Rattus norvegicus: one gene and its partners. The protein of the gene in region 1 purifies or fractionates together with the protein of each later gene. This does not show direct contact. Links are inferred from orthologs where the notes say so. Each region holds a gene or a part of one and is shown in the gene's direction. Other genes may lie near its edges. The genes, in order: Lgals1, Itga4, Met and Fn1.

Region 1 (8,424 bases):
CTGAAGTCTGGGGAGGCCTCAGAGGGAAGACCGAAGCTGCTGTGGTTAGTTTCCCTGGTGGTTACTTGAGGGCGGGGCTGGGGATGATGGGGCAGCCCAGCCTCGCTGCAGATCTGACAGCATCTCCGCTGTGCCCTGCAGGCTCCCCTCTCCTCCCATTCTGGGTGGGCTTTCCACATCTGGAGGAAGGAGCTAGAGATGAGCCTGGGAGGGAAAGGCTGGGTAGGGCAAGGAGGATTGCTGGCCTGGCCTCCAGATGTGACTCACGATTCCTTATCTTTACGACTCTTCCAAGATGGCAGTTTCAGAAGGGGAATGGCAACATGGACTCCCTGTTGCCCTCGCCACCACCACCTGATTCCCCAGTGTGAGCTGAATACCCCTCTAGCTAACCAGAGATTTTTGGGTAGGAGAGGGGGGCTCTCATAGCCAACCAGTAGAGCTTGGCTTCTACAACCATTAAAGAAATAACTATTTAGTACAATGATCTCTTAGCACCAGTGAAGGTCTGGTTCAGTCCCCATCAAGACTGAGTTGTCACAGGCCTGAAATCCCAGAACTTGAGAGGCAGGAGCAGGAGAAACAGAGGTTTAAAGTCATCCTTAGCACAGCAAGTTGAGGCCAGGCTGTACCACATAAGACTTGTCTAGGGCTGGAGAGATGGCTCATTGGTTAAGAGCTGAGTTCAGTCCCCAGCAACTACATGGTGGCTCACAACCATCTGTAATGGGATCTGATGCCCTCTTTTGGTGTGTCTGAAGACAGTAACATACAGTGTACTCAGATACATAAAATAAGTAAATCTTTAAAAGACTCTTGTCTAAAAAGAGGCTAGGGCAGCAATGGTAAAAAATACACGGGCTGGAGAGATGGCTCAGCGGTTAAGAGCACCCGACTGCTCTTCCAGAGGTTATGAGTTCAATTCCCAGCAACCACATGGTGGCTCACAACCATCTGTAAAGAGATCCGATGCCCTCTTCTGGTGTGTCTGAAGACAGCTACAGTGTACTCATATATATGATAGATAAATAAATCTTTAAAAAAAATACAAAAGGATTAATTCAATATGGCTACCCTGTTTTTGGAGACAGGGTTTCTGTATGTAGTTCTGACTATTCTGGAACCTCAATCTGTAAACCAGGCTGCCTTTGAACTCATAAGAGATCTGCCTGTGTCTACATCCTGAATGCTGGGATTAAAAGTGTGTACCATCACTGCCTGGCTAGCTGTTTGAGCCAGTGTCTCATGTAGCAGATGGTGGCCTGGAATTCCTAATTGTCTTGCCTTAGCTTCCCAAGTGCTGGTGTTACAGGCACGAGCCACCATTGTATGTATTTTAAGTTTAAATATTGGAAGAACTGGCACAGACAGCAAGAGGTATGCATACCTGAGCAGACTGGCCTTGTAAGATGGCTCAAAGAGGTCGCATCGCTTAAGGGGACATGTGGGTTCTCGGGAGAGGGTCACTCCCGCTCCTGGGTGTGGGGGTGTGCTGTACAGAGTTACCTGGGGAACACCGGCCCTCATGTGGGGAAGCAGTTGCCCCACAAGTCTTTGCTGGGCTGGTTTGAGACAGTGACTTGTCTTTGTGCCTTTGGCTCAGAAGGGTTAGGTCAGGAAGGCTGAGTCAAGCGGAGTCTGAGCCAAAGGAAAGGAGACAGATACAAGACAAAGGCAGAGAGGGCAAACTCGCCCTTTCAGTAACCTTCTAGCGCTCGGGAGGAGTCCAGGCGTCTTGGCAAGAGCACCCTTGAAGTGCCTTGTTTTATCTCAAACCCTCCGCTCTGCTCAGTGAGCCTTCCTAAGTCTCATATCACCCCATGACTATCTGTAGCTCCCCAGGACTCTCAGGTAAACGAACACGAAAACCCTTTTCCTGGCCAATGAGACCCTTCACAATCCTTAACTCTCAGCTTTCTTCTACATGGTAAGCAGCTCATTCCCCAGGCATGGGCTTCCAGCCCCTGCTTCATATGCCCATCTTCACCCGGCCTGAGTGAGTGGCTGCCCGATGCCAACACGGTGTTATTTCTTATTTCAGCTCATAGTCAGATTCTTTCCAACCCGTGAATTCTGAGAGCAGAGACTAGGAGAGGCTCATCTTCTCTGAGGCCAGCACGGGGCTAGACACATAGTAGGTGCTCAGGAAAATAACTGCTAAATGGATGGGAAGGGATGACCATGTCTCTTCTCCAAAAATAAGAATGAGACCAAGGGTGCAAAGCTAGCACATCCTGGGCTGCCTCGAGGTCTGCCTCTCAGGCCCCAGGGATGTCACAGCCAGGCCCTGCAGTGGGGTGAAATCCAAGGTATAAGCCAAGGACATAGTCTCAGGCCTGGCGCCCAGCCCAGCCCTAGTGAGCAGCACTGAGCCGCAGCGGCAGTCCTCTGCTTCCGGGGAAAACCCGGGTGGGGCCTGTGCTTTGTGGTCCTCCTCAGCCCTCCGCAGAAGCCCACAGAAGGAGCAATAGTGAGAGCCACACCCTGGCCTGCCAGGCGGCAGCCTCTTAAGAGATTGCTTTAATGCTCTGCAGGCGGGGGTGGGGTGGGGGGTGGGGGGTGGGGGGGTGTCTATACACCCCCTTCCCCACCAGCTGCGCTGGGCCTCAGGGGCTTTCTCCCTGCTGGCCCCAGGCCCCATCCCGCCAACTCTTGAGCTTAACTCATCCTTAAACTATTTTCCACTGGCTCCCCCAATCTCTGCCACAGCACAAATCTTTTTTTAGTGGGAAGAGGGATGAAGAAGAATAAGAGGCGGCGCCTGGACCCTGAGGGAGGGACTAAGAGAGGGGCTCTCCTCTCTGACTGGTCACCTCTGCTCCAAATTGACTTTATAAATCCGTTGACTCCGCTTCTGGTGACCCCCAGCCCTGTCCTGACAGGCAATTGGCTGAATTCTCGGGGAGGGGCGGGACTCACCGGGTCTGATCCAGTTAAAAAGGTCGGAGCGGGCCTGGGGCCCATCTCTCGGGTGGAGTCTTCTGACAGCTGGTGGAGCAGGTCGCAGGAATCTCTTCGCTTCAATCATGGCCTGTGTGAGTGCGGGACCCTCTGTTCCAAGGTCTAGGGGATTGAGCAGAAGCAGATGAACACAGGGGAGTAGCCAATTGGGAAATTGCTTCTAGTCCCAGCTGTGCAGCCTTGGACAGGTGTTTTCTCTGGTCCTCACTGGCTACATCTGTAAAATGGGGGTGGCTGTCATAGTCCCCCCTGAAACTTTCAGCCTCTCTGGGTTAAGAATGTTCTGGATTTCTCTGAGTTGTGGCATGTCTTGCAAGGTCCAGTACTCTGCCACTTTGTAGTTTTCTGAGAAGTGGGAGTGGGAAGGGTGTGGCCTCCGAGGAAGAAGGAGGCAGGGGGACATTTTGTCCAAGGCCATTCACTATTCCCTCTGCTCTATTCTAGAGTCTCCTGACCCCTCCCCCGCTGCAGCTGTCCCCAATCACAGAGCCAGGGCTCAGTTGGTCACCCTCTGCTCCAGAAAACTTTTGGAGAAAAAAAAAAAAACAAAACAAAACAAACAAAAAACACCTCCTGGGCCCGAGATAGGCGGCAGGCTGGTCAGTGGAAGCTGGTCAGGTCTGAGCCGAGGAAACTGCATGCATTTGCACACACAGACACACAGGCAAGCCCTCCGGAATGGGGTTCAAATGTCAAAGAAACTCCTTACCCAAATTAACTCCTGTGCACTCACCCAGGCAGCTGCGCGCAATGCCCAGATAAATGCTGGGCTCTCTAACTTACTAAGTCCACATTGCCACTCTCAGTCTGTCCTCTCCCGCAGAGCAGGCCCGCCTCTTAGCTTCTCCGCTCTAGTTGCTGTGCCTCTGGACTGAGAGCCTTGAATCAGATTGCGGAGGTTCGGGCTGCATTCTCTCAGAGAAGCAGGGCCTTGGGCTAGTAGTCGCCTAACCCTGTCCATCAGCTAAATGAGGATTTAGGTGGTCATATGCCATCTTCCCCTCCACTCTAAGTCCAGATCCCCAAGCTGATGATGGGTGAATCTTCTAGGGCCTGTTCTGTAGGACAGCCACAAGTTTGACACCCTGCTGGGAATGGGGACTCTCTCCAACTGCAGGGATAATCAAGACTAGAACCTACACCCTATCCTGACCACCCATCCTACCTTGGGCTTCCCCTAGGGTTGGTCAGGGTATCCCAGGGTGGAAATGACCCCATTCCCACACCCCAGGCCACTGTAGGTCGCTCCTAACTCCAACCTAAACACAGCTGGGTGGTCTTGTCTACACAGGGTCTGGTCGCCAGCAACCTGAATCTCAAACCTGGGGAATGTCTCAAAGTTCGGGGAGAGCTGGCCCCGGACGCCAAGAGGTGAGATTGGAGAAAGGAATGGAGATGGCAGGGGGCGGGGTTCGCAGACCTAAAATGCGATGGGCGTGACCGGCCAGAACCGCTTCTCCCCCCCCTACCTAACCCCGCCGCGGGTTAATGGGCAGCTGCAGATGCTGCGTTTTCTGGGTGAGTCATTTCCTCGCCGGGTCTGGTCGACCGACATCGCCGTGGTCTCCCCCTCCCTCCCACCTCCTCTCTCCCCGCTGGAGTTTCTTAAACTAAAACAGCTGCTGCCTCAACTCCAGCTTGCCCCCGCCCCTTCCGAGGAGAAGGAGGGGGACGCGGGGGGGGGGGGCGAGGAGGGCGTGGTCACCCTCGTGCCTGCTGCCTGCGGCGGCCCTGCTGAAGCTCAATTTTTTTTCCCCCCCAGAGCTTTCCCCTCATTCATACCGCCTAATTTTTCAGCAGCCATGTGAGCTTGGACCAGTCACCCAAGCTTAAGAGGTCTCGACTTTTTCTCTTTTCTTTTCCAAAGACAGAGTCTGCCTTATAGCCCTGGCTATCATGGAACCTATTATGTTGACCAGGCTGGCCTCCACGGAGACCCACATGCCTCCGTCTCCTCAGAGCTAGGATTGAAAGTGTGCACCTCCGTATTCCACACCCCTAAGAGCCTAGGTTTCCTAATAAAGCCAGAGGAAAAGTGGTGGAGTAGAGAGAGCCAGGGGCCAGTTTCAAGGCGGCAGCTGCTGCTGTCTGTTGTCAGATGTTAGTAAGCTCCCGAGCCCTCTTTCCTCTTCCCACCCATACCTCCATGGTGAGCACTGTTGCCAGGCTCCGTGCAGCAAACTCCGAATTATTATTTGCTCTTTTTTCTCCACAGTGAGGGAACATCTATGGTGTGTCCCACTCTGTGCTCAGCACCAGGGACTCAGATACACAAGATGATGGGTGACAACGATCAATGTCTGGGAGAGAGAGCTCCCTTCAGGACAAGCCCTCTGACTGACAGACAGGGAAGGAAATGTGGGTCAGAGAGAATCTGCAGGGTCTAGCTCAGTTCGCATGGTGAGGCCAGAAGTAGAATCCAGGTTCCTGGCCTTCCTGTTGACTGAGTTTCACCAGGGCACATTAGTGGCCAGCTGCTGATGTTGCATTTTCTCAGTAAGCCAGCCAGGGGCTAGAGCCATGCAACACGGCTTAAAGCCCACCTGTCATCCTTAGCTTTGTGTTGAACCTGGGGAAAGACAGCAACAACCTGTGCCTACACTTCAACCCCCGCTTCAACGCCCATGGAGATGCCAACACCATTGTGTGTAACAGCAAGGATGATGGGACCTGGGGAACAGAACAACGGGAGACTGCCTTCCCTTTCCAGCCTGGGAGCATCACGGAGGTGGGTAGGACTGGGGCTGGGCAGGGCCCTGGGTGGACTGCACAATGTGGTCAGAGGCGGAGGCTGATCCGTCCTGGCTGTGTGATTACCACTGAATGGCATCCCTCTTTGAACATAATGGACCTCACCTATACAGGGGCCATCCCCAGGGCTCTGAGCTGGTCCAGGCCCCAGCTCACTGCCCTTCTCCATCCACCAGGTGTGCATCACCTTTGACCAGGCTGACCTGACCATCAAGCTGCCAGACGGGCATGAATTCAAATTCCCCAACCGCCTCAACATGGAGGCCATCAACTACATGGCGGCGGATGGTGACTTCAAGATTAAGTGTGTGGCCTTTGAGTGAAGCCAGCCAGCCCCAGCCCGTAGCCCCCAATAAAGGCAGCTGCCTCTGCTCCCTGTAACCCAGCCCTTCGTGTGTGAGTGTTTGTGTATGTCTATGTGAGGGGCCCTGCCCAACCTGGTCCATCTGCACTTCCATTCACTCCTCCACGTGTTCTTGGTCCCAGTGACCTTTCTTCTTGTGCTCTCCAGGCTAAGGCGAGCCCAGCACATAGAGGGGGCTTAGTGACCGCAGAGTGTGAACCAGTGTACCACTGCAACAGGGCAGAATGGTGGGAGGTGAACTAATGAACAGAACACAGGACTTCATTTGTTTCCATAAAGGCCAGAAAGGGCATGGTGACACATTCTTGAAATTTAGGAGGCCAGGACAGACACATCGTCGTGTGTTTGAGACCATTCCGGACAGCCTGGTCTACATACTGGAGGCAGCTGGGACTAGCTGTGCAGTTCTGTACTGCTAACTACTTGGGAGACTGAGGCAAGAGGACCACTTAGGGCTAGCTGGGGCAACATAGCATGACTTCATATAGAACGGAGGAATCTTGAACTAGGTAAGGGGCTACAACTGTTGTGTGGCCTTGTGCTTGTTAGCTGGTCTCTCTGTGCCTTAGTTTATCATTTTTATGCAGTTCTCGGGAGGGTCGTGGAGTTAAAGGAGATTTTAGTGGAAGCCAAGTTCTGCTCTGGGTACATCATGGCCAATGCCATGTGGGTAGCTTCTGGTCTCCCTCACACTACTACCTTGTTTTTGCCTACAAAGGGAAGGGGAAGAGACGGTCTCTGAGGGACAAAATGACGCACCAGCAGCTGAGGAGCACATGTGAAGCAGGCTTCCTAGTCCTATGATCCTCGGCTACATTCTTCTGCTGTCAAAGGGCAGCTAGAGGCCTAGGCTAGAAGCTGCTAACTCTGTGGCACTGAACAGATCCCCTCCCTAACAATGGGAATCCAGGATGAGGTCACAGCCCTGTAATGTGGTTGGGGGCTCTGAGTGGGTCCCTTCGGAGACGTGGGGTGAGGAATGGGATGGGAAGGCCCAGAAGCAGGTCTTCCAGAGGGCAGGTGGCTCACTGCAAGCTTGCTCCTGCCTTCCAGAGCAGTGGGTGTCTTCCCCTGCCCTCAGCTCAGGTTCTGCTGCCTCGGGATGTGGTTGTTAGCTGAGGCCTGCCCCATCCAGTGCAATTAACTGCATCAAACCGGTGGGCCACCATTGTTCATCCATACCAGTGTCACCACTTCCCAGGAAACAGCTGCAGGAACTGAGCCAAGGTTCTGGAAGGCTTCAACTATAAACCTCACTGGGCTCTCTCCAGCTCTCAAATCCGGGGTTCATATCCTGAGGCTGGGAGGTGGGTGCCTGTGAGATGTGCCATCTCATTTTCTGGGACAACTGGCACCCTCTTGGTAGGGTCCATCCCCCAGCCTCAGTTTCCCAATCCACAGCAAGATGAAGACTTTTCATGGTGGTGGGTCCAGGAAGTGGGGGTACCCATAGGAGAAGGCCAAAGAGAATGGAATACATAAGCCTTGGGCTCCCATGAAACACACCCCAATCACTGTGCTTTTCTGAGGCTCCCAAGTGTGGCTGTGGAGGAATGGCCCTCTGCTGGGTCAAAGAAAATGTGCCTCAGACTGTCTTCCTGTGTTCACAATTTACCCTAGAAGCTAAACATTGATCTTGAACAAGGAAGGGATGACCTCACAGGGAGGTTGTAAGGCTCACCACAGGTGTGGGGCTGGGAGATGGCTCAGTGGGTAGGAGCACTTACTGCCCTTCCAGAGGACCTGGGTTCAATTCCCAGCATTCAGATAGCAGCTCAGAGCCATCTACAGCTGTCTGTAACTCCAGGTTCAGACGATCAAATGCTTTCTTCTGACCTCCTTAGGGAAAACACCTATATAGTGAAATAAATTACAAATAATAATAATAATAATAATAATAATAATAATAAAGATTATTTGCACGGGTTGCCAGCTTGATGGTGCTTTTACAGAGCTCTGTGAGTTCGAGGACAGCCTGGTCTATATAGTGAGTTTCAGGACAGCCAGGGATATGTAGGGAGACTCTGTCTAAATAATAAAATGAAAATTCAAATTCAAATAATAAATTAAAAAATAAAAAGGGGGGACTGGAGAGGTGGCTCAGCAGTTTAGAGCACTGACTGCTCTTTCATAGGTCCTGAGTTCAACTCCCAGCAACCACATGGTAGATCACCAATATCTGTAATGGGAACTGATGTTCTGGTGTGTTTGAAGACAGCTACAGTGCACTCACATACATAAAATAAATAAATAAATCTTAAAAGTAAAAAAAAAGTAAAAGGAAAAAAAACGAGGGATGAGATGGTGGTAGGGAATGCACAGGCCACAGCCTCAGCCCAGGACACATC
Region 2 (7,855 bases), on another chromosome or scaffold:
TCTACAAAATACAAATTTTGTAATGTTGTTTCCTTTACAGTAAAGCACATATGTTTTGTAGATTTTTCATTTGTTTGTTTTTTTTTTATTTTTGAACAAAGCATAGGCTTATTTGACCCATATGTGCTTTAAATGCGAACATTTTGTGCTCAGAAAGGGCACTAATAAAACAAGTAATATATTATTATCATTCCAACAGAACTCATAAGGCATTTCCTTATGTGATTGAGCTTGAAGTATTATAGGAAATGTAGCCAACTTTATGTCTCATCGTGTAAAGTTATATCTTTATGTAAAGTCAGCGAAATAGAAAGATTGCATGAAAGGTGTAAAGATTGTCGTTTGAAAGCTCCAGAGTTTTGTGTACTCAGATGTTGCAACTGCAATCCTGGAAGACCATTGCTAATCATACTGCACAGGGAATAACAGGTCAAGTGTCAAGATTGAGAGTTTGTGAATTAAAATATATATATATATATATACATATATATGTGTGTGTGTGTGTTTAAATTGCTTAAATGACCGTTTTAAGTTAATATAAACGTTTTTGAGGTTCTCCTTAAAGTAGTTATTTTGGATAGTTTTGGTTACCTCCATGCAGAGTTAGAAAAGCATATAACTGCTGTGAACGATGAGCGTCATATGTTTCTCTCCTTTTATGAAGGCTACTCAGTAGGAGCTGGTCATTTCCGAAATCCACATACTACCGAAGTCGTGGGAGGAGCCCCTCAACACGAACAGATAGGAAAAGTAAGACGTTCCTTTTTACCCTCTTTGTGTTTCTTCACAAAGCCTTGAATAGATTACATGAGTCACATGTTGAAGGGACACTGTAACATATAAGATGACAATGATGAGCGATATATTGCATCAGTTGAATCTGCCCAAGATTTATTTATAGCTCTCAAAGAAATTTACTGGAAAACTTTAAGGGGACTCATATAAATTAAATGAGGCTTTGCTATGAGTAAATTGATAATATATAGATAACAACTTATAGATAATATAATATGATAATAAATAATAAGGCATAATTATAGATGCCCAGAGAATAAATGTACTGGTTATTATTTAATAAGCGGGAGTTGAGACAGGTAATGCTTCATGGTAAGACTAGAAAGAATAGAATAAAGTAATTCTAGCTCTGGATTTTTCTACTTTGCTACACAAGTATTGGGCACTCAATTTTTTTTGATACACCTTTTTCCTTTTCTTTTCTATGGGATCCAAAAGTTGGTTCCTGAGACAATAGTGTTTCAAGTCAGGCATATCAATATAAATATTAATATTATATATCACTCTTAAAGTTTATAGTGGTAACAATTTTATTAAACACTTGATATTTTATGTTTGTCAAGTTACATCTTGTAGAGATTGATATTTTGATTAAAAAATAGGTTGAGTTTGATAAGAAAGTAAATGTCTTTGAATTCTTCCCCCAATTTTAGGCATATATATTCAGCATTGATGAAAGCGAACTGACCATCGTATATGAAATGAAAGGTAAAAAGGTAAATACGTTTCTGCCTATGGGGTTGCTGAGGGCTTCTGTGAGCAGCGCCACGTGTTCTCACTGCGCATGTGCTTTGCTTTGGAACAGCTTGGCTCTTACTTTGGAGCTTCTGTCTGTGCGGTGGACCTCAATGCAGATGGCTTCTCAGATCTCCTTGTTGGAGCGCCTATGCAGAGCACCATCAGGGAGGAAGGAAGAGTGTTCGTGTACATCAACTCTGGCATGGTATGTCCGATGGTCCCCAAACAGGAAGCCATTCGTGAATTATAATTCAGATTGAAACTGCTCTCGTTTCAGAGTTCTGAGCCAGTGTGTTCATGTACACACGTGCATGGTGCATGCGCTTGCATGCTTATCCATGCCATGGTCCATATGTGGAGGTCATTGGAGTTCAGGCCTCTCTTTCTACTGCATGTTCCTGAGATCCAGTTTGGATCATGAGACTCACTCATAAGCACTCTTTATGCACCGAGAAGTTTAGTCAGGTCAAAGATAAAGTCTTAAGCTTCTTTGATGGACCAAAGTAGAATTCTACTGCTGTACTGGTGCTCTGAGAGGGAGACAGATGGAGGGTGAAGGGAATCCGCGTGCACAGCTTTCGTGAGCAGTAATTAAAATTCCCTTTAGTTTCATTTCCACACAAATACAATTTGGAGAATGGTTTTTGCAGATACTTCAAAATGGATGTTTGTATAACTCAATAACTATTGTCCTTATATAATTCAGCAAGTTACAAAATGTCTGCTATTAGGAAGAGATGAAGCATTCAATGTTTTCAACGTCTTGACTTGCAAACAAATAAGGTGTGTTGATGAAATATTATTACACACTCCATTTGGATTAGATTCTAAAATAATCTGAGGTTGGCATCATTTATTCTGAAGTGGCTGCATTGTTTAGTCAGATAGTTACTGAGTATCATTCAGTTTTAAGTCGTGAGAAGTATTTCGTCCTTTAGTTTGAAAATGAGAGTGGGCTTTTAAGAAAACAGGTTTATTTCCTAGGACACAACGTCTTCTAGTAGAGGTTTAGCCAAGTGCACTTGTAACCCTGCTTACTCGAACTTTTCAGAGAATTTAATAAGTGTTCATTTCCAATGTCATGCTGAACTCTATACGATGCAAAAGAAAGGGCTTCCAGTCTTAGAAGGGTGGGAGTCTTAAAGTTCTGAATCTAGACTAGAGGGTTACACATGCAGAGGCTCCCTAGACTCTCTTTAAACTAAAACATATTGTCCTCTGGGTAGGGATCTCTCAGATCTCATTAATGGCTGCATGCGAACAACATTGTACCTCATTCCACACCTCCCCTTCGCAGATGGCCTTCTTTCTACTCACTTGCCCTTAGTCAGCAAGTATCTCTCATTTCTCCCTTGTGGCAAATACCTGGTACATTTCTCTTAATGAGGAAATGTTTAAAAGAAAGAGTGTAACTAAAAATCATTGTTAAAGTAAAGGAACATTTTCCTGCTGAAATCTCAGGCCATCCAAATATGCAAACAGATAAAGGGAATGCCGAGAAAGCAAAGGATGGGTCTGCTCACCAGGCTTCCCTTCCCTCGGATTACCCAGAAGCACTGCTCTTGAATACTGAGACCAGCTCAGCAACTGGTTTTCACTTTAAGAGCACCAGTGGAAGGGGAAGCCCTGGGTCCTGCTAAGACTGAAGCCCCAGTGAACTAGTCTATGGGGGGAGGGCGGCAATGGGGGGAGGGTTGGGAGGGGAACACCCATAAGGAAGGGGAGGGGGGAGGGGGATGTTTGCCCAGAAACCGGGAAAGGGAATAACACTTGAAATGTATATAAGAAATACTCAAGTTAATAAAAAAAAAAATCCCACAGTGTGGATTTCTCTTCTTCTCCTTGCATTTTATCCATTTCTAAACTCTCTGAAATGGCACTAGCCATGAAGCAGCCTAACATTTCCTTTTCCTCATCTGCCAGAACCTCTGCTAACATGGGAGAGGACTCATCTGTTTCATTTACCCTTGTTGTTTCATGGCCCATACAAGTCCTAGACAGGCAGACACTTCAGAATTATTGTCAATGAACTGAAAGAAAGAAGGTTACTCGAAGGACTCGGGTTTTGACCTAATCTATTAAATCGCTCTCAGGGGTCCCCAGTGAGCACTTAGCTGCCATTCTTGATGACTGTAGGATACTTGAACAGGAGCAATTACCACTTACTCCTAGAACTCTTCTAAATCAGCATTGTCTTGAGGTTTAAGCATTGTGTGTCTTCACTGAAGCCCCATCTCTTCCTTTGAATTATTTCCTGAGGAGCCCGCCCATTTTATCCTTCGCTCCTTGGATGTAATTCCATGCCATGTAAATGGTAGTGATTGCAGCTATAGAGATAAATTTAAATTTTCAATTCATTTAGAATGAAAATGGCCCTTCAAAAAAGCTGAAAACAATCCCAATCGTGACTCCTGAATTTTAGGATTTGGTGAGATGCCAGTCATGGAGGAGTCACTGGAATGCAACATGGTAAATGGCAGGTGATAAGTACTTTCAAAGTAGACATTCCTTACTTTGGACCAAAAGTATTTCAAGGAAGAAATAGTATTTGAGACAGAGAGAAAAAAATAGGGATTTTCTGTTATAAAGAAAAGGTGAAGGTGACTTGGCAAAGCATTGAATGTGTGTTTGTGGAATGAAGAGTAGATTTACCTGAGAAGAGGATAAGACCTGTGAGCACTACATGGAATTTGTTTTTCAAATGTTGGATTGGAATTATCAGAGCTCATTATCACAGCATAATTAGACAGCTCATCACATATATAATAACTGCTCACTTTTGATTTCCAAGATGAGGGTCGACCAGTGCATTGCTGTTTGGATGTTTCCAAAAGGCCACTTGAGTCATGTTACCTGTTATCTCAGAGACCTCCCCTGGCTTCTTATGGTTTCCTTCAGAAAGAGTAAATTCCCCCTTTTAATCCAATTGCTGTATACTGTAAGACAACAGTTTGCCTTTTGTTATCGTGTTCATTATATGTTTATTAATTAATAAATATGTGGCAGATATTAACATATATGTCTAACTTACACATGTAGCTATTTTGCTCAACATTTTTTTTTCTGTACATCGCCACCACACCTTCCTTGCAGTAGCCACCTTGCATACCTCTGAGTGACATCTCTCTCAGATCATCTTTCCTTCCTGCCCCTTATTGGAAGTCCTTCCTTGCTTCAGTTAGAATTATTTTCCTTTCTTCTCATTAGTGCAAAGCCATTTGTATTTGTAGGTCATGTCCATGCTTGTATAAAGCCCATCTTGTATCTGTGGTTCTGGAGGAAACGGTGATATATATATATATATATATATATATATATATATATATATACACATACTCATTCCTCCTTGGCTGCTTTCACTGGTTCGCTCTGTCCAGTGCATTGTCTTTAGCAAGAGCTCAATAAGTGTTTGTTAAATTGAATTATCAAAATGATTTATTGGATTTTCAAAGCTAGGGATCATGAGTTCGACCATTTTCCATGTCCTCTGAGCTCTAATCATGCTATTATATATGTTGACTTAATAAATATTTATTGAATTGAACTGGGATGTGTGTACTGAAGCTCTGTCTGTGGTTTGACGCATTAGAAAAATCCATATCCAATTATAGCAGTAAATCACGTGTCCGGTTGCCGGGCAGTTTTGTAATGGCACCTTTCTTTCTATTCCTGTCTAGGGAGCTGTGATGGTTGAAATGGAAAGAGTGCTCGTCGGAAGTGACAAATATGCTGCCAGGTTTGGGGAATCCATGGCAAATCTTGGCGACATTGACAATGATGGCTTTGAAGGTAATTAAAAATCTCTGACTTGGTACTTAATTTCCACGCTTAAAATAGTTCAAGGAAGCAAATGTGATCATAGTTTTGAGCTGTTAGCCTTTTTGTTGAAAGGGGGACAAGAATGATATGCCACTGAGATTTAGATAATCTTATGTCAGTTATTGATCTTTAACAGGTTAATTAGAGTGGGATATTCAAAGCATTTTATTGATTCTAAAGGTGTCATTGATTATAAGTAGCATCATTCTTTTCTCATAAAATGATGCCTATCAACTTTTGATATCCATCTTTTCTCTCTTTTAAAAAGATCTTGATATTGGAGAGAAAGCATGAGGGGTCTATATCATTGGACCATGGTATTTAACTACCAGTATAGTTCAGAAACTGACAAAACCCAACTGAGTCAGGTGTCGAAGGGGGAGCATGCTCTGGTGATCACTTCTATGCCAGGAACACTGTCTGGAGCTGCATTGCTATAGGATCTGGAAAGACCCCAGTGAGAGTCACAGCGTTGGTGAGAAACAGCCGTGAGAATCAAAGGATTGGCTATCCACCAACTGATCCTGAAACATTTATATGATTAAATGAATGGCACTGTCTTAACCGTGCATTCTACCCTGGACATCAGGCTTGCTTCCTCTCTACCTGTACCTCCTTAGCCTATTATTGGGAGTTAATTGATCCCATGAAACTGCACACATAGGATAGATGTGTGTGAAGGGAGAGTGTACCATTTCCCAGAGTGCAACAGCTTCCTACAATTCAGGAAGTAAGTGTTCATGTTTTCATGACTCGGAATTGCATCTTCTTGATACTGTCATTGGTAATGAAAATATGGTTTGTATTAAATAAGAGGCAAAAATTACCATCGTGGTTGTGAAAAAATTCAGACAATTTTCATGAAAATACGCTTTCTATTCTTTAGATATCAGTTAAAATAATTAAAAATGTTGTACGTTATTAAGTGCATTAATATGCCCCCATAGAGTCATGCGGTATAACATGACGTGTTCTTGTAGCTATGGAATGTAATTTTTCCTCATTCGTGTCACATGTATTTACATCACTTAGGCAATGCGATGAGTCAGCATGTTTTCCACCCCAGTGTCATAAATTCAACATTAATCACAATAAATTCATTCTATCATTATTTTACAAAACAAGGCATTTTCTGAAATTCTATTTTGTATGTGTGTGATCTCTAATTACCACCACTGGAAGAATTGACTTAGAATCCATTTTAAAGTAATAAAAACGTCTAGACTTTCAAAATCAAGGTTCTTCTCGTCATACAATCTCCTGTTATAACATGCCAGATGCCGTTACATGCAGTTGACATGTTGCATCCTTTCATACTGAGCATGTTTGTCTCTGCGTGTTCTCTTTCCATAAATGGGGAAACGAGACACATAGATTAAATACTGGGGATTTACAGAGTAGTGGGGTACAGCAACAGAGTTGAGGCGGGTGTCCTGAGGTTCGTCTGCAGCCCCTGTATGCTTCACTATTATGAGAATGTGCTGCAAAGCCACCCACTCTGTTATTTTCCTTGCACGGACTATTAGGGCATAATCCTGAAGACTATGAAGTGAGTAATTTATTCTGGAAGAGTGGTTGGGTTTCCTTATAAGAAGGAGTTTTTACATTGTGTCACATGCTTTCAGAATCACAAAAGCTAGTTTTCCAAGTTCATTCTTTGCATCGAGAGTGTCTACCATGTCCACTATTTAAATCCAACAGATATTGCTATTGGCGCACCACAAGAAGATGACTTGCGAGGCGCTGTCTACATTTACAATGGCCGAGTAGATGGCATCTCCTCTACATACTCACAGGTAAGATACTATTCAGTCTTCCACAGGGTACTGGTGATTAAGTACCCTCGTTTTTCGACTGGTAATGTGGACTTGTTTTCTCTCTGAAATACTTACCATTTTTATTTCACTGTATAATATTGGTAAGTGGTCTTATTTTAACTCTCGGATTTCCATTAGTGTTCCAATCCATTCACATTCTTGTCTTTATGTGTGACAACATATCTATGTTCTCAAGGCAATGGCTATTCTTTTCCAAGTTTGCCCACTTAGATATCAATTGTTCTTCCTTACAGATAAAGCTTTATGCTTTACAGAGCTAGCACAGGGAGCGAAATGCGTTCCTAAGACCTCGTTTCTTTCCATGTATAGTAGTTAAACTAATACCATCTTAATATAATTTTGCGACAAGACTCTCATTTCAGTTCTATATCCTGACAACTCAGGGCATTTCAGTATAGAAAAAGACCTACATTCTGAGAAGAAAAGATTTTTCCAAAGATTTACTAGCTAACATTATATTGCTGAAAGTAAGAGTGGGCAGATGACCTTCTAAATTTAATGTAAAAGTTAGGTATACGTCAAGTCAAAGATACCGATGTTTCTCTTGCTATGAATAGCGCCAACGTATTTCTAATTCAGTGTGTGAACATGAAATTAAAAAGAAGGAGCAGACTGAGGGATGGACTGTTCTTAAATGGGAAGGGCCGTCTGTCAAAACCAGTAGG
Region 3 (7,855 bases), on another chromosome or scaffold:
GGGAGGGGAGGGGAAGAGAGGGGAGGAGAGGAGAGGAGAAGAGAGGAGAGGAGAGGAGAAGAGAAGAGAAGAGAAGAGAAAGGAAAAAAGAAAAAAGAAAGAAGCTTTGAGTCTGTACTGTGTCATTCAGTCTTTTAAAACCCCCGTGCAGCTGAATACTTTATTAAACAAAGAGCCTTAGCAATTTCAGACGCCAGAAACTTGTACTCTTTACTGTCTGGGGCAACTACAACTAGTGTATGTTTGTGTGCGCACTCACAGAATTAAATCACAACAGTTTCCTTTCAAAGCTGTCCACATTAGTGTTTAAGAAAGCAGGCTGATAACCCGACCAGAAGGAGCGCTTCGTCTGGCCCCTTGTGCCTCCCTTTATTGCTAAAATAGCTGGCAACAGAGCAAATAGCTTAGACTTTTCCAGAACAGCATAGTTTCTCTTACAAGTCTTCTTCCTTCATCCTTCCAAAGTCCAGCATCTACAGTTGGTGACTTTAAAAGGTTGGGGTGTGACAAGCACAAGTCGATGAGGTGTAGGTTTTACAGCAGACAGAAAGTAGCAATAGCAGAGCTGACTGTGTAAACCCACACACCCACCCCCTCTGCCCATAGCTGTTAGGAAGATTTCATGCCATGCTAGACCGTGACATTGGGCATTCTTACTGCGAAAAAAAATAAGATAAATTGTCCCCCTTTCTTTTCTGCCCTCAACTCTACATGCACAAATCCAGCTGATGTATAGAATTTCACTTTCTGATACATACACATTAACCTGCTTCTCACAGTACATGGTATTCAGTAGCTGGGAGACTTTGCAGTTTCAGATAGGAGTGATTTCAAGATTTTAAACCCAATGCATTGTTTCAAGTGTGTCCTCTGACCCCAGACTTCAAAAGCCGTGAGAAAAGGAGAGGCATTTTCACAGTACAGTCTGGGTGTATCGTGGTGGGACAATCTTCATACGTTATAGGACTGGAGACAGTCTCAGAGACACAATAGAACTGTATCATTGATCAGAATCCCAGATCAGGAGCAGCACCAGACCGGGCCATCAGCATATTTGTGACTTTATTTTTCCTGCTAAACGAGAACATGGCTTCCGGTGGTAAATTTAGTTTTCGATGGTTTTTTTTTTAATGCTTTCTCATATTTTATTTTAATGGGGTGAACCAACATAATTCTAAGGTCTTGATGGAATGGTCCCAGCAGTAATGTGGTCGTTCACCTGTGAAAGGAGAGGAACTGATTTGTGGTAGCATCTCCCCAGCCAGACAGGTAGGAGACCCGGCTGGCTTCTGTGGCTCTGTGCAGAACATTTCCTGCCTGGAGAGTTTCTCTGAACTTCAGGATGACTCCAAGTTTGCCAGCCCATTGTTGGGGCTGTACAAGGGTGTGTGGTCTCCGACAGCCTCCTTCCTTTTCCCGTGGAAGAGGGACAGTTCCTTCATAAGCTACTGGGACAGCATTGGGCTCGGAGAATGCTAAACAGAGCCAACCTTTTTAACTCGGTGTGGGGGGAGGAGGTGGGTGGTGCAGGTTTTACAGTCACTTGTTGTGTTAGTCACTTGTCACTAGTGGCCACAGCTACTAGGCAATGCTGTCCTTTCTCGGTGACTGCCAAGTCTCTCTGCCATTTCATTGGAAGCAATGATGAGGTGTGCTGAGTGACAGGCTTCAGTTTTAACGTGGAGCAGGGGAAAGGCTGGAGGCGGAAGGATCTGGCCCACATGGGCTTGGGCAGCTGTTTTGGAAGGGAGCCTCCTTACAGTGAGCTGCAGCTGCGTGTGAGCATTGGCCTGAAGAGCCCTGGGAGCGACTGCCTCTTCTCTTCTGTTAGGATTGCCCTAGTAAACAGATTTCCCCTCTAGCAGTTTTCATTTCGCCAGACATAGATGAGGTGAATTTTCATGAAAGGCACAACTGTGTAGTGGATTTTGTTTGTCAAACGGCGATTAGAAAAGCATTAGGCTGAGACTTTAGAGGGGGTTGGCAACAAGGGTGCGTTAAGGCATGGGTTTGCAGTTACTTGCTTAGGGAGGGTGGGAATGTGTGCGAACCTGAGTTCTTCTGGAAGTTCTCCTTGACTGTAAGAGTGGCAGGCTTTTCAGTAAGCGCCTTGGCTGGTTCTGAGTTGCCCTGATCCTCAGACTTCATTTTCCCACCATTGTACTTTACAGTACAATTTACAATATGTCCCCCCAAAAGAGCATTTCCTTTCTCAATTGTCACACAGCTCCCCAGGAGAAGATTATTTTTAACTTGGAAACGTGTTCTGCCTAAATAATTTTAGCCTTGGAGTGGCCATCATAAATGCCTCATGTTATGGTATATGGCTGCCACCGTCACATAGTAAGTCCAGGGGTCACTTTTTTTTTTTTTTTTTTTTTTTTTTTTTTCATACCATTTTTTTTTATTTTATTTTATTTTTTTATTAACTTGAGTATTTCTTATATACATTTCGAGTGTTATTCCCTTTCCCGGTATCCGGGCAAACATCCCCCTCCCCCCTCCCCTTCCTTATGGGTGTTCCCCTCCCAACCCTCCCCCCATTGCCGCCCTCCCCCCACCAGTCTAGTTCACTGGGGGTTCAGTCCAGGGGTCACTTTTAACACACCGAAAGTTAGCCTGTTGATCACTGAACATTGCACATTGAGGAAAGACATCTTTACAATGGCATAAAATAATGTTGATAAGTAGAATTAGAAACATCACTACAATACTGATCTGAGGATCTCTCAGTTTAGATTTTTTTTTTTTGCCAGAAAGAGAGTGTTAATTTGTACTATTACAAAACTTCATGTAGGTTCTAGATCAAAGTTTCACCATATTTAAAGCAACTAAATTTTTTATTAAGAAATACAAACTGGTAGACATAAATTGCTTGATTCAGAGAGTCAGAAAGGTATTCAACAGAGGCCCTGAGTTTAGTTCCTAGAACCCGCGTTACATATGTAATGCCAGGATCAGGGGAACAAATGCACTCTTCCGGCTTCCATAGTCAGTGTGCTCACAGACGCAAAGCCACACACAGAAACACGTGTGTGTGACTTTTTCAGGATTAAAATAAATATTAAAAAGCAATACACCATTTGCTTGGTTTCCACGATGTGGAAAATGATCACAGTCTGCTGGGTTTATCGTTGCAGGTTTTCCCCACTAGTGCACCCCTCGAAGGAGGAACAATGCTGACCATATGTGGCTGGGACTTTGGATTCAAGAAGAATAATAAATTTGATTTAAGGAAAACCAAAGTTCTGCTTGGCAACGAGAGCTGTACCTTGACCTTAAGCGAGAGCACGACAAATACGTAAGGAGCATGGTGACTTTGCTGAGTGGCCTTGGGAGATAGGCCGGGTTCTTTAATTGGGTTTTCTGAGAAGAAGAAAAAAAAAATAGTGTTCAACATGTTCATCTATGCATTCACAAGGGTCTTGACCTGTCATAGCATTTGAAGACGTGTTTGGTTTTCTCCTCGTAATCTCATTTTATTAACAGACTAGGAGAAAGGAAAAGGTGGTATGGCCTAGAGCAATTCAGCTTCCATGAGTTGTTTTTAGACTTGTTCACTCGATTTAATCTTTATACAGAGTTGGAGTCTAATATTTGTGTTTATTACTGTAGTTTAGGGTGTTTGGCGAGTGTCTGTGGGTACAGTTGCACATGTAGCATTGTGTGTGGAGGCCAGAAGATGACTTCAGGAACTTGGTTACCTCCTTCCAGTGTAGGTCCCAGGGCTCAAACTCAGACCAGTAGGTTTGTGTGGTAATTGGTCTTCCATCCCGCTGGGCCAGCATCTAGGAGGTTTGAACTACTAAAGTAAAGCCTCTTCAGAAATTGCCCGTACAGTTTGAAAGACTGGGTCTTCCCCTTGAGACCTCAAACGTTGCCCCCCACAAAGGTTTCTCATGAACATCAGTAAACAGCTGGGTGTCTGTCCTCTGTTCATGATTCACCTGCTGGTCCTTGGAACAGTGGCAAGCACTTTTTAGACTCTTTAGATGAGCTTAAATGTATATTCAGGTCATATTCATGGCACTCTGCCATCTGGGTGTCCCCCACATCTTAGGAGGTGTCAGTTCCATTCTTGCCTAACGTTAAGAGAACTAGGGTACAGCCTACCTGAGCGAAGCCAGAGATCAGCGCTCTGTTCTCTGATCAAGACCTGTGCTTAGTCTCCTGTATTCTACACATTCCCTCTAAAATCCCTAAATGCCACAGTGACCAGGTAACCCAGGGATTACTTGTTGGAGTGCAGTAGCAACAACCAAAGTTTCAACAGTTGAATCATTATGGTTGAATCTGTTCTATAAAGTAAATTATCTAATATAGATTCCATTCCATGGTCATCATAAAGGACCTTAATATAATCACCAAAACCAGTCAATGTCAAGCTTGCTAGGCCAAAGGCAAAAGCGAGTTTACTCTAGAAGCATCCCTTTGTTCTCCAAAACTCTTAATTATTAGAATGTGAATTAAGAGCTATAAAGAAAAAGGACAATTCATTCTCTCTTTTTAGAAGTCTGTAAAAACAAATTATATTTAAATTTTATTATATAAATATATATTTATTATATATATAGCTATATAAGATTACGGATAAAAATTGGCACTATTGGTAGCCAAGGAGATGCCTCAGTTGCTAATGCGCTTGTCAATCAAGTATAAGGATCCAAGCTCAATACCCAGCACCCAAGTAAAAAGTTAAGTGTGGTGGTGCTCACTGTTGATAATCCAGCACTGGGGAAGCAGAGACAGGAAGACTCCTAGAGCTTTCTGGTCAGCCAGTCTAGCCTTATCAGGCATCTCCAGGTCCCAGAGAGAGAGCACATTGTAAAACCAAGTAGACAGCCCCTGAGAAGTGACACCCAAGGTTGGCCTCTGGCTTCTACATGCATTCTTGTGTCCCCAACATGGCACAACCATAATAATTTACAGAAAAACTGTCCCAGTAGCATTAGCCTTTAAGTGGTTTAAATAGATTTCTGACGACTACAGTCGTAGAAAATATAGTTGTTGGCATAAATTGGTGAAGAGAGCTGGCTTACTCTATTCGTAGCTGGCACATTACTTCACATGCTGCTGACATAGCAGCAGTCATTATGCTACATGGGCCAAACACCCAAACACATAACTTCACAGACTTAGGTTATCATGCACTTCTTAGCTGGTGAGTCTGCACTGGTGACCTATGAAGGGTCCTACAATGGTCGATATAAAGTTTGGCACCACCATTCAGAAAATAGGATTACATGACTTTTCAGCCTTATGACTTCCATGAAACCGAGCTTACCATTTGGAATCATGAGCTCACAATTTGGAGTTAATGGTCCCATCACGACAAGCAGCCAAACCAGAAAATCAGAAAATGCGTGTGGCTTTGAGACATATTAAGCTCTGCTCTTTCTTTGCAGGTTGAAATGCACAGTTGGCCCCGCGATGAGTGAGCACTTCAATGTGTCTGTGATCGTCTCAAACAGTCGAGAGACAACACAGTACAGTGCGTTTTCCTATGTGGTAAGTCCAAGCTTTGCTTTTAGTCATGACCCGGGATGTTTGGTTTTTTATTTCATCTGCATAAAGAATAGAGCTAACCAGTTCCTTTTTGGTTTTGCCACCCATTCAGGATCCTGTAATAACAAGTATTTCTCCAAGGTATGGTCCTCATGCCGGAGGCACCTTACTCACTTTGACTGGAAAATACCTCAACAGCGGCAATTCTAGACACATTTCAATCGGAGGGAAAACATGTACTTTAAAAAGGTATTGTCGCTTTTTGGTTGTATTAATATCTGTGCCTAATACGCCAAGCCAAGTTCTTTTGCATTTATTTGCACAGAGCATAAAGATGTTTTTATATGATTTTTCTCCTGGTGATTCTCTTCTTCCCAAGTCCAACTGGGTCCTTTTGCTGATTTTTCTATCCTTCCCCTTCTGTTGCTTAATCCCCACTCTGAGTTTTGTCTTGCTATCCACTCCTTCATTGTGGTGAGTCTTATCTGAGCTATATAACGAACTTAAAGCTCTGGTCATTGGCACTACATCAAAATAAGCATTTCTATCAAGATCCAGAGATGAAGAAGGTATGCTGAGGGACGGGATGGGTGAGCTTAGATTTAAAAGGTAGTTTCTCCTCAGGGTGGAAGGAGCTAAGTTTATTCTAGTACCAAATGGACTTTGAAGTTTGCCTGAACCACCACATGTTTTGAAGTCACGGATGGCCTTTCATCAAGGCTAAGTGTGGGAATCTAGCTGGATGTAAACAAGCTACCCTGGGAAGGGCTTTTCTCCTAGGCCACCTCAGAAAATTCCACGGAGTTGTATTTTTCGACGTACAGGTATAATTTTGGAGTATAATATCACTAATAACTAATGTCTGCTATTTACTCTTTTCCTTCCGTTCTTTCTGGCCCTTGGTGTTTTGCTTGTTGTTCAGTGTATCAGATAGCATTCTCGAATGCTACACCCCAGGCCACACCGTCTCTGCCGAGTTTCCCGTGAAATTGAAAATCGACCTGGCTGACCGAGTGACAAGCAGCTTCAGTTACCGGGAAGACCCGGTTGTCTCTGAAATCCACCCGACCAAATCTTTTATCAGGTAAGTGAAAGCTTCTGATCGGTAGAAGGAAAGCAAGAACGGAAGGTTGGCTGAGGAATACCCAGGAGCGTTGCACTTTATCCCTTGTTTAAATGCTGCCGTGTTTTGAGGGCTCCGCTCCAATTCAGCGGGGAACTGCATTTAGGTCCCGCGGACAGTCTGACTTTATCGATGGTACTTCCTGCCAAGAACAATTCTGCCCATTATTCATTTCCTGTTATGATTTCAACACCTAGAGGAGAACAGTTCAGCCTGGTGCCATTGTATATGTGACACACCTATGTCACATACGCTTGCATATGTGTCAGTCCTCCGCCGAGCTGCAGGTCGCCTTTTCCCTCTCCTTTTGTTGTGTTTTGGGATCCCTTTACACATACATATTTCTTCTCTGCACCAGACTCTGTTTTAGTCAGCAGCTATTGAGCATCTCTCGTTTCCGCTTGTTCTGTCAGCCAAGCGAGAACAGTCATGGATGTTTTCCCCTGTATTTTTCAGAGAGAGAAAAAAAAAACATTCTTTTCCACATTTATTCAGTAAAAATTCGGCCATTTCTACAGCTAATGAAATATCTCTTTAAACATTCTCAAATTTCCAAAGAAGAGTTACCCCTGAACTCCCATTCAGCCCTAGCGAGTCCCCTAGCGTGATCACTGAGTCTAAGACTGGGCGTCTACATAGTTGGTAGGACAGCTCTGAATATTTCCGTTTTCCGTTTTATTTGACCAGTGGTGGAAGCACAATAACGGGGATTGGAAAGAACCTGAATTCAGTTAGCACCCCAAAGCTGGTAATAGAAGTGCATGACGTGGGCGTGAACTACACCGTGGTAAGTCCTAGAGTGGCCATTCCGCTCAGAACTCTGCCTGTGTGCTGCCAGGCTTTCGGGGCACAGGGACATTTTGGCTTTGTCTAGTAAGCTGCAGCAGAAGTCAAGTGGTACTTTTAGTCAACAGTAGAATCTTGGGCTGACATTGTAAACATACAAACATACACACACACATACATACACACACACACACACATACACACATACATACACACATACATACATACACACCCACGAATACACACACACACACACACACACACACACACACACACACGTTTATACACCAATGAAGACCTTCAGCATGAGCAGAAGTTCTCAGACTTGTTGGTATACATACAAACCTGTCACAAGCCAACAGTCATCTAGGAAGAACAGTCACAACTGAGAAAGCGCCTCCTCAGATTGACCTGCAGGCAAGCCTCTGGGGGCCATTTTTG
Region 4 (7,855 bases), on another chromosome or scaffold:
TGTACAACCCCCCTTTTCCGCTCTCATGTCACCTTGTCACCTCTATTCTCTGACCCTTTTCAACCTCTCCCACTTAAGGCATCTTCTTTTCTCCCCACATTCCCTTTTCAGGATCTATTCTCTGCACATGTGTGTAGATGCTCCGTACACACATGAAAAATTAAAATCTAGGATCCACATATGCGGAAACTCATTATTTGTCTTTCTGAGGCTGGATGGCTTTGTTTTATATAATAATGTTACTTTGTTTAACATGACAATGGAGTTCCCTCTGTTTCCTGGTGAATGTCACTGGGTTCTTATCCTAGTTAGAGTTGTTGTGCTGGCTTTCATAAAACACCAGGATCAATAGGAAATTGGGGAGGGAAGGGCTTATTCGCCTTACACTTCCACACTTTAGTCCGTCACTGAAGGAAGTCAGGACAGGAACTCAAGCAGGGGAGGAACCTGGAGGCAGGAGCTGATGCAGAGGCCATGGAGGGTGCTGTTTACTAGCTTGCTCCCCATGGCTTGCTCAGTCTGCTTTATTATAGAATCCAGGACCATGAGCCCAGAAAAGGCACATCCACAATGGGTTGGGCCCTCCCCTGTCAATCACTCATAAAGCGAAAGCCCTACAAGCTTGCCTATAGCCTGATCTTAATAGAGGCATTTTCTTAATTAAAAGTTCCTTCCTCTTAGATAGCTTTTGCTTGTGTCAATGCTAAAGCCCTTGGAAATATCAGTATTTCGGTATAATGTAGAAACTGACTTTGAAAAAGAAAAAGAAGACATGCGTGTGTAAACCGATTGAGGTCAGCTATCGGTACCGCATAGCAGGGTCTGTCGTGTCCCCCCACATCGTCCTGGATGTCTAAACTGGTGGTTGTTGTCTTTTGCTCCCCTCCTTGGGTGGGAAAAACAGGTCTGGACTCCCCAACTGGTTTTGATTCTTCTGATGTCACCGCCAACTCATTCACCGTCCACTGGGTGGCTCCTCGGGCCCCCATCACCGGCTACATCATCCGCCATCACGCCGAGCATTCTGCCGGAAGACCCAGGCAAGACCGAGTGCCGCCCTCAAGGAATTCTATCACCCTCACCAACCTTAATCCGGGCACGGAGTACATTGTCACCATCATTGCTGTTAATGGCAGAGAGGAGAGCCCCCCACTGATTGGCCAGCAATCCACGGGTAATGTTGTTTTTTAATCTGCAAAGAAATTCCCTGGTGTGGAATTCCTATGGTTCCGTGTAGGCTATGAGAGAGCTTCATGCCTTCTGAGTCTGCATCCCTGGAAAAGTAGACGGTGGCAGGAGACACTCAAAAAGCAGTGATGGAACCAGGCACTGCAGTGCACGCCTGCCTTTGATCCCAGCACTCGGGAGGCTGAGGCAGGTGGATCTCTACAGAGTGAGTTCCAGACCAGCCAGAGTTATACAATGAGACCCTGTGTCTCAATGAAAAGGGGAAGAGGGCAGTGATAGCCTGTGTGTGTGTGGCAAAAAATTTCTCCCTCTAAGAATACATTTGAAAAGAATTTTTTTTTCTTCGGAGAAATTGTCACTTGATTTGGCTATGCTCTGGTGATCTTGCTGGTCAGTTTTTATTTCTGATGTTTTGAGAGAGTCTCCTAGCCCACACTGACCCAGGACTGATGTAGCCCGGGCTTAATCTAAGATCCTTCGCCTTGACTTCTGGGTGCTGGCCTTAGAGGCATGAGCTACTATTGGATCTTTATTGGTTTTTAAGAAGATTGCATTCAAAACATAATGTGGTACCAAATTTAGTGTAAACCTATGATTTTTTTTTCTTTTAAGGTTGGGCTTGGTAGCACAGATGCGTATGTAATCACAGATACTTGGGAGGCTGGGACAGGAAGGCCCTCCTTGTCTGCTGAGAGTTCAAAGTTAGCCTGTGCAGTTCAGTGAGGCCTTTTCTTGAGATAAATAAAAGTTTTTTAAAAGGCTGCGATGGGTGTCGCACACTGGTAGAGTGCTTTGTGTGGTGCGAGTCAGGCTAGACTATGTCTTTAAGCACAGATAGATATATTTTCAGGGACAGTGATTAGGAGACCTGTTATCAAAACCATCTGTGGCTTAGCTCTGAATAGGGGTGCGCGTGACCACTTTCCAAATAGCACATAGTTAAGCATGCATGGGTGGGATCTCAGTCCCAGGCCAGCCTGGTCGACAAAGCGAGTTCCAGGACAGACGGGGCTGTTAACACAAACTCTGTCTCAAAGAAGAAAAAGAAAAAAGAAAAAAAAAAGTGCGTGGGTGGGGGTGCCTCTGTAGGTTTTTGTTGTTGTTTTAACTTATGTGATTTAAATTGTTTTCCAAAGAAAATGGTGAGGAAAAAGAATTCACAATTCCCTTGACCTCTCCATAGATTTCCATTCTGCTAATTCCGTGTTGCATTTAGATGTTTGTATGAAGGAAATGTAACCGTTATGTAGGAAAAGACAAAGAGTGGATCTGAGCTTTCTTTGGAAGTTATAGCCATGTCATTTTCCTGTGATTTTTCTAGTTTCCGATGTCCCGAGAGATCTGGAGGTCATCGCTTCCACCCCCACCAGCCTGCTCATCAGTTGGGAACCCCCCGCCGTCTCTGTGCGCTATTACAGAATCACCTATGGAGAGACAGGTCTGTAGACTGTGGGCCATCTCACCCTATGGGATCAGGGTCCAGGAGGGTAACTTGGAAATCTGACAGTGGGTGCAGGAGTAAATGCTAGCAGGCCCACTTAGAAAACCTCTTTTTCTTTTTTTCTCTTCAAATATGCATTGGAGCTGTGTTTAATTGACTATAATATTAAGTTCAAGGGTTGTTCATGCACTACAGCTGGGGTAGAGAGCAGAACTGAGAGAAAGAATTCATATATTCACAAATATTATCTCGTTGGTAACTCTTACTATTTTTTCTTTTCAGTGTTTTCTTTTTTCTTTTCTTTTCTTTTTTTTTTTTTTTTTGGTTCTTTCTTTTTTCGGAGCTGGGGACCGAACCCAGGGCCTTGCGCTTCCTAGGCAAGCGCTCTACCACTGAGCTAAATCCCCAACCTGCAGTGTTTTCTAAATTTAACAAATATTCTGTTAACCCTTTTGTAAAGAATGCATTTCATTCCATTTTGGGTCGAGTGACCCACATTCTTGTCCCCCTTTTCTATTTAATTTTAAAAAATTGATTAAAAATATAATTATATCATTTTTTCCTTCCCTTTCCTCTTCTAAACCATTCCAGGCCCCTCTCCCACCACTTCTCAATTTTGTGGCCTCTTTGTCTTACACACACACACACACACACACACACACACACACACACACACACACACGCATGTACATCCAACACATATGTATAACTACAACCTACTGAGGCTGTTTAGTGTTACTTATGTGGATGTGATTTCAGGGCTGACTACTTGGTATTTTATTATCAACCAGGGAGCTCATTCCTGGGGATTTCTTTACCTTTTGCCTGTTAATCTACAACTCAGTGACATTTTAACCCAGGGATGTTAAAATGTCATTAGCTTGAGCGTTCTCCTGGTTTTTATATACTTATCAGGCCTTCCTTACTACACGCATAAATACACTTGCCTGTTCCGGCTAGGTTAAAGCAGCCTGATCTCTTTATGAAGGAACCTGCAAGCCCAGTGATTTACAGACTGCTTTAGATGTTCTAATAATATTGGAGTCACTCATGGCTTCTCAAATTCTCTACTTACTAACTCCTTTTACACAGGAGGAAATAGCCCTGTCCAGGAATTCACTGTGCCCGGAAGCAAGTCCACCGCCACCATCAACAACATTAAACCAGGAGCAGACTACACCATCACCCTGTATGCTGTCACTGGCCGTGGGGACAGTCCAGCCAGCAGCAAGCCAGTTTCCATCAATTATCAAACAGGTAAAGATTTCTCTTCTGGGGTAACACAGGGTTATTTATGAAGATGGTCATCCCAGATAATATATCTATGTCTATATCTATATTTATATATCATCATGTTAAGTTATAAAGCTTATTGTTGAATATGATTTTACTGCAGCATGCTAAATTGTTTTTCATTTTTAGTATATATGTTATATATTATATCAAATATATATATCTCAATATATATCCATATATATATCTCAAATGCTATATCACTGAACTATACACTCCACCCTGTAGCTAACTAACAACACCTACAAGTAATAGAATCTCGAGACAAATGTACAAAGAAGACCCTGAGAGCAGACATTTTCGTCTGTTTTTAACTGCTACAGTCATTTATCTACCATAGACATAGAGAGTATTCATAAATACTTGTAAAAAGTGACTCAGGGGTTGACTGAATAGGAGACAAAGGCCTGCCAGACATTCAGTGTTTGGTTTGTGGAATGAAGGAATCAGGTTGAAACTAGTTGTCATAGTGTCTGGATGCATGGCTTCCCTTCTTCAAGCTGATGCCTTTCTTCTTGTCAGAAGAAGCCTCTGCAGTTCATTCACAGAAGCAAAGGTCATTTGCATGCACTCTAGAACTACAGGCAAGGGCGTGTCCAGTCCTGCCCCCAAGTACTGGGATGTCAGTGCTTTCTTTTGTCCTTACAGAAATTGACAAGCCATCCCAGATGCAGGTGACGGATGTCCAGGACAACAGCATCAGTGTCAGGTGGCTGCCTTCAACTTCTCCTGTGACAGGTTACAGAGTGACCACCGCTCCCAAAAATGGCCTAGGACCAACAAAATCTCAAACTGTCAGTCCAGGTAAGAATAACCAGAATGTTACACCATGCAAGATAAACACAGTAGGAGCTCAGAAGTTTCCGTTTGAAGTGAGTGTCCTATGTGGTGTTTGTATGGTGCTCCCATTCACAGACTGTTGTCATTGTACAGTTCTCCCATTCACAGACTGTTGTCATTGTACGGTGCTCCCATTCATAGACTGTTGTCATTGTACAGTTCTCCCATTCACAGACTGTTGTCATTGTACAGTTCTCCCATTCACAGACTGTTGTCATTGTACAGTTCTCCCATTCATAGACTGTTGTCATTGTACGGTGCTCCCATTCATAGACTGTTGTCATTGTACGGTGCTCCCATTCACAGACTGTTGTCATTGTACAGTTCTCCCATTCACAGACTGTTGTCATTGTACAGTTCTCCCATTCACAGACTGTTGACATTGTACAGTGCTCCCATTCACAGACTGTTGACATTGTATGGTGCTCCCATTCATAGACTGCTGCCATTGTATGGTGCTCCCATTCACAGACTGTTCACAGGACAAGCATTGGTATCCATGTATTTTAGGTTTTATTTTTTTTTCTACTGTCCTGGGTAGTAGTATGGAAACTATTTAAATCCTTAGTCACTAGGAAGAGAAGGATGTACTGACCCTGCAGAACCTTCTAGATCTGATGTTCCTATTATATAAAATGGCTTGCAAGATACATGATCTCAAGGCAATTTCTTAAGATCAATTTAATTTCTTTCTTTATTCAAGAATAGCCTCATTAATTAGGGGGCACGGTGTTAAGCTGTAAAGCTTACTGTTGAATATAATTCTACTGCAGCATGCCAAGTTGTTTTTGAGACTGGATCTCATGAAGTTTGTGCTGGCCTGGACTGCATCACGTAGGCAAAGACGACATTAAACTTCTGATCTTCTTGTCTGTATCTCTTAAGTGCTAGCACTCCGGGCACACAGTTTACTGTACTACTCACTATCAAAGCTGGGTTTGTTCATGGGAACAGCATTCTGCTAATGAGGCCACGCTCCCCAGCCCCAATGTTGTTACCAATGGACAAGTTTTCCTAAGAGGAAAGAGGCATCTGGCTTTTCCAAGTGGAATGGGTGTTTCATGACTGATCAGCAGATGAAAATCATAGAGTCCGCACCTGCTTCTCACTGAGCTCTTAGGCGTGTCTTGGGTGGCTTTCTGGACCTACAATTGCTTCCCTTTCCCTTCCAGATCAAACAGAAATGACCATTGAAGGTTTGCAACCCACCGTGGAGTATGTGGTTAGTGTCTATGCTCAGAACCGGAACGGAGAAAGCCAGCCCCTGGTTCAGACTGCAGTGACCAGTACGTAACCAACGCTCAGTCTCTACCTCCAAAGTCATATTGTTCTCGGGTGTTTCAGTCCCCCCTGCACATCTCATGCCATTCTATCCAGGGAGGGCAGTGTGTCAGCTGGTTCATATCTTGAGATGAGCCCTTGGCAAACATTCTTCTTGGTGCCACATAGTGAGCTTGCAGGAAAAATCATTGTAGCGTTGCCGTCAATGGCTGCTGTGCTTTGAATCTCCTTCGCTTAAATGGCCTCGGCAAAAATCTTATTTGCTTTTAGCAAATCTATGAAATATTTCTCCAGGGCCTACTTTTTCTATGACTGGATGGATGGTAACGTTGACGGTAGCACACCCCGAAAAGTGGTTATGTTTGAAGGACTGTGGCTGGGTCAGCATTTTAATAGAAAGACTTAACAGAGGGAGAAAGAAGACTCTGAGATGGATTATGTGTATGGCTTGAAAAGTCAACTTTACCATTTCCAAGATGTAGAAAATCCAGGTCTTTGAGACTAACATCACATTGCAAAATCAAATCTAGAATATCTTTACGTTGATGCAAGGAAATTTCCTTTGTGGAGATTTTTTTTCAGGGTGTCCGCGTGCCTCGCTCACACCTGTGTTTTAATGGGTAACGTGACACCGCATACGCTAAACCTCAAAAAGGGAAAAGAAAGCCTTTTAAGCAAATGTGTCAGGCGACTTTCTCTTATAATCGTGTGATAATTGGAATGTAATTCATCAAAGAAAATGGTATCTGCAGAACTGCTTTGCATGGTATAAGAAAATGCTTGTTTCCCAACTTGCTTTTCACATAACCTCTTACCATTAATTTGCCTAACAGACATTGACCGCCCTAAAGGACTGGCATTCACTGATGTGGATGTCGATTCCATCAAAATTGCCTGGGAAAGCCCACAGGGGCAAGTTTCCAGGTACAGGGTGACCTACTCAAGCCCTGAGGATGGAATCCATGAGCTTTTCCCTGCGCCTGATGGTGACGAGGACACGGCAGAGCTGCACGGCCTCAGGCCGGGTTCTGAGTACACAGTCAGTGTGGTTGCCTTGCACGGTGGCATGGAGAGCCAGCCCCTGATTGGAGTCCAGTCCACAGGTATATCGGTGACTGCACCGCTGGGTGCTTCTGGGAGCAGTGGCTTTACGCCTTGCTGACGTCATACTTTACCGGGCTAATGATTCCCACGTAAGGGAGAGTGGGAAAACGCCCTCGAAGTCATAGGAAGGGCCCTCTTTAACGAGGAATGGTAGCATACCATAAAAGTTAGGTTATATTTAGTGAACTAAGTCTATTCAGAAGAAATTTAAAGTAGCTAAGCATATATGTGCAAATGTATACTAAATATATATATTTAAAGACTATAAAGCAAGACATTTGAAGATGATACTACATTGTGGATTATTTCCTAAGTGATCCACACTCCCTCTCCACACATGAAGTAAGAGAGCTCACTCTGAGAATTGACCCTAAGCCAGGCATTTCCTGGCCACATGATCAGAGGACACATGGGAAAGGTCTTCTCTGGCTAGTTATCCTGTGCTGGGCCTTCATTTGCTTAAAGGATTATGATCCGATGCATAGGACAGAGTCATTAGGACAAGTGCTTCCCACAATCCTTTACCCTCTCATGCGTTACTTCTGGAGCAAGGTCGGAATGCTCAAAGCATATAGAGGTGACGGTCTGTGTTACCGCTCTCTGCTTCTCTTTCCTGCCTCTACTGTGAACCAATTTTCTTCTTATGCTGCTCCGCAGAGAATACTTCAGATTTAGCAGTGACATCTGCCGTGGGGTCCAAATAAAAGA

What was found.
Region 2: the proteins of Lgals1 (region 1) and Itga4 purify together in Homo sapiens (affinity purification with mass spectrometry; 3 studies listed by BioGRID and IntAct, with this or other methods). This does not show direct contact. The link is inferred for Rattus norvegicus from reciprocal best matches to the Homo sapiens genes LGALS1 and ITGA4.
Region 3: the proteins of Lgals1 (region 1) and Met purify together in Homo sapiens (affinity purification with mass spectrometry; 3 studies listed by BioGRID and IntAct, with this or other methods). This does not show direct contact. The link is inferred for Rattus norvegicus from reciprocal best matches to the Homo sapiens genes LGALS1 and MET.
Region 4: the proteins of Lgals1 (region 1) and Fn1 purify together in Homo sapiens (affinity purification with mass spectrometry; 3 studies listed by BioGRID and IntAct, with this or other methods). This does not show direct contact. The link is inferred for Rattus norvegicus from reciprocal best matches to the Homo sapiens genes LGALS1 and FN1.

Annotation. Positions count from the first base shown.
Region 1 is NC_086025.1:112,362,705-112,371,128, forward strand, and holds Lgals1 (galectin-1), read left to right. Parts: upstream 1-2,990; 5' UTR 2,991-3,026; coding exon 3,027-3,035; intron 3,036-4,252; coding exon 4,253-4,332; intron 4,333-5,517; coding exon 5,518-5,689; intron 5,690-5,888; coding exon 5,889-6,035; 3' UTR 6,036-6,097; downstream 6,098-8,424. UniProt on the Homo sapiens protein: Lectin that binds beta-galactoside and a wide array of complex carbohydrates. Plays a role in regulating apoptosis, cell proliferation and cell differentiation. Inhibits CD45 protein phosphatase activity and therefore the dephosphorylation of Lyn kinase.
Region 2 is NC_086021.1:84,593,107-84,600,961, forward strand, and holds part of Itga4 (integrin alpha-4), read left to right. Parts: intron 1-664; coding exon 665-750; intron 751-1,448; coding exon 1,449-1,511; intron 1,512-1,600; coding exon 1,601-1,738; intron 1,739-5,210; coding exon 5,211-5,322; intron 5,323-7,053; coding exon 7,054-7,148; intron 7,149-7,855. UniProt on the Homo sapiens protein: Integrins alpha-4/beta-1 (VLA-4) and alpha-4/beta-7 are receptors for fibronectin. They recognize one or more domains within the alternatively spliced CS-1 and CS-5 regions of fibronectin. They are also receptors for VCAM1.
Region 3 is NC_086022.1:46,820,211-46,828,065, forward strand, and holds part of Met (hepatocyte growth factor receptor), read left to right. Parts: intron 1-3,140; coding exon 3,141-3,301; intron 3,302-5,405; coding exon 5,406-5,508; intron 5,509-5,617; coding exon 5,618-5,754; intron 5,755-6,427; coding exon 6,428-6,589; intron 6,590-7,315; coding exon 7,316-7,415; intron 7,416-7,855. UniProt on the Homo sapiens protein: Receptor tyrosine kinase that transduces signals from the extracellular matrix into the cytoplasm by binding to hepatocyte growth factor/HGF ligand. Regulates many physiological processes including proliferation, scattering, morphogenesis and survival.
Region 4 is NC_086027.1:80,663,003-80,670,857, reverse strand, and holds part of Fn1 (fibronectin precursor), read left to right. Parts: intron 1-904; coding exon 905-1,174; intron 1,175-2,509; coding exon 2,510-2,626; intron 2,627-3,721; coding exon 3,722-3,886; intron 3,887-4,570; coding exon 4,571-4,726; intron 4,727-5,934; coding exon 5,935-6,048; intron 6,049-6,876; coding exon 6,877-7,146; intron 7,147-7,855. UniProt on the Homo sapiens protein: Fibronectins bind cell surfaces and various compounds including collagen, fibrin, heparin, DNA, and actin. Fibronectins are involved in cell adhesion, cell motility, opsonization, wound healing, and maintenance of cell shape.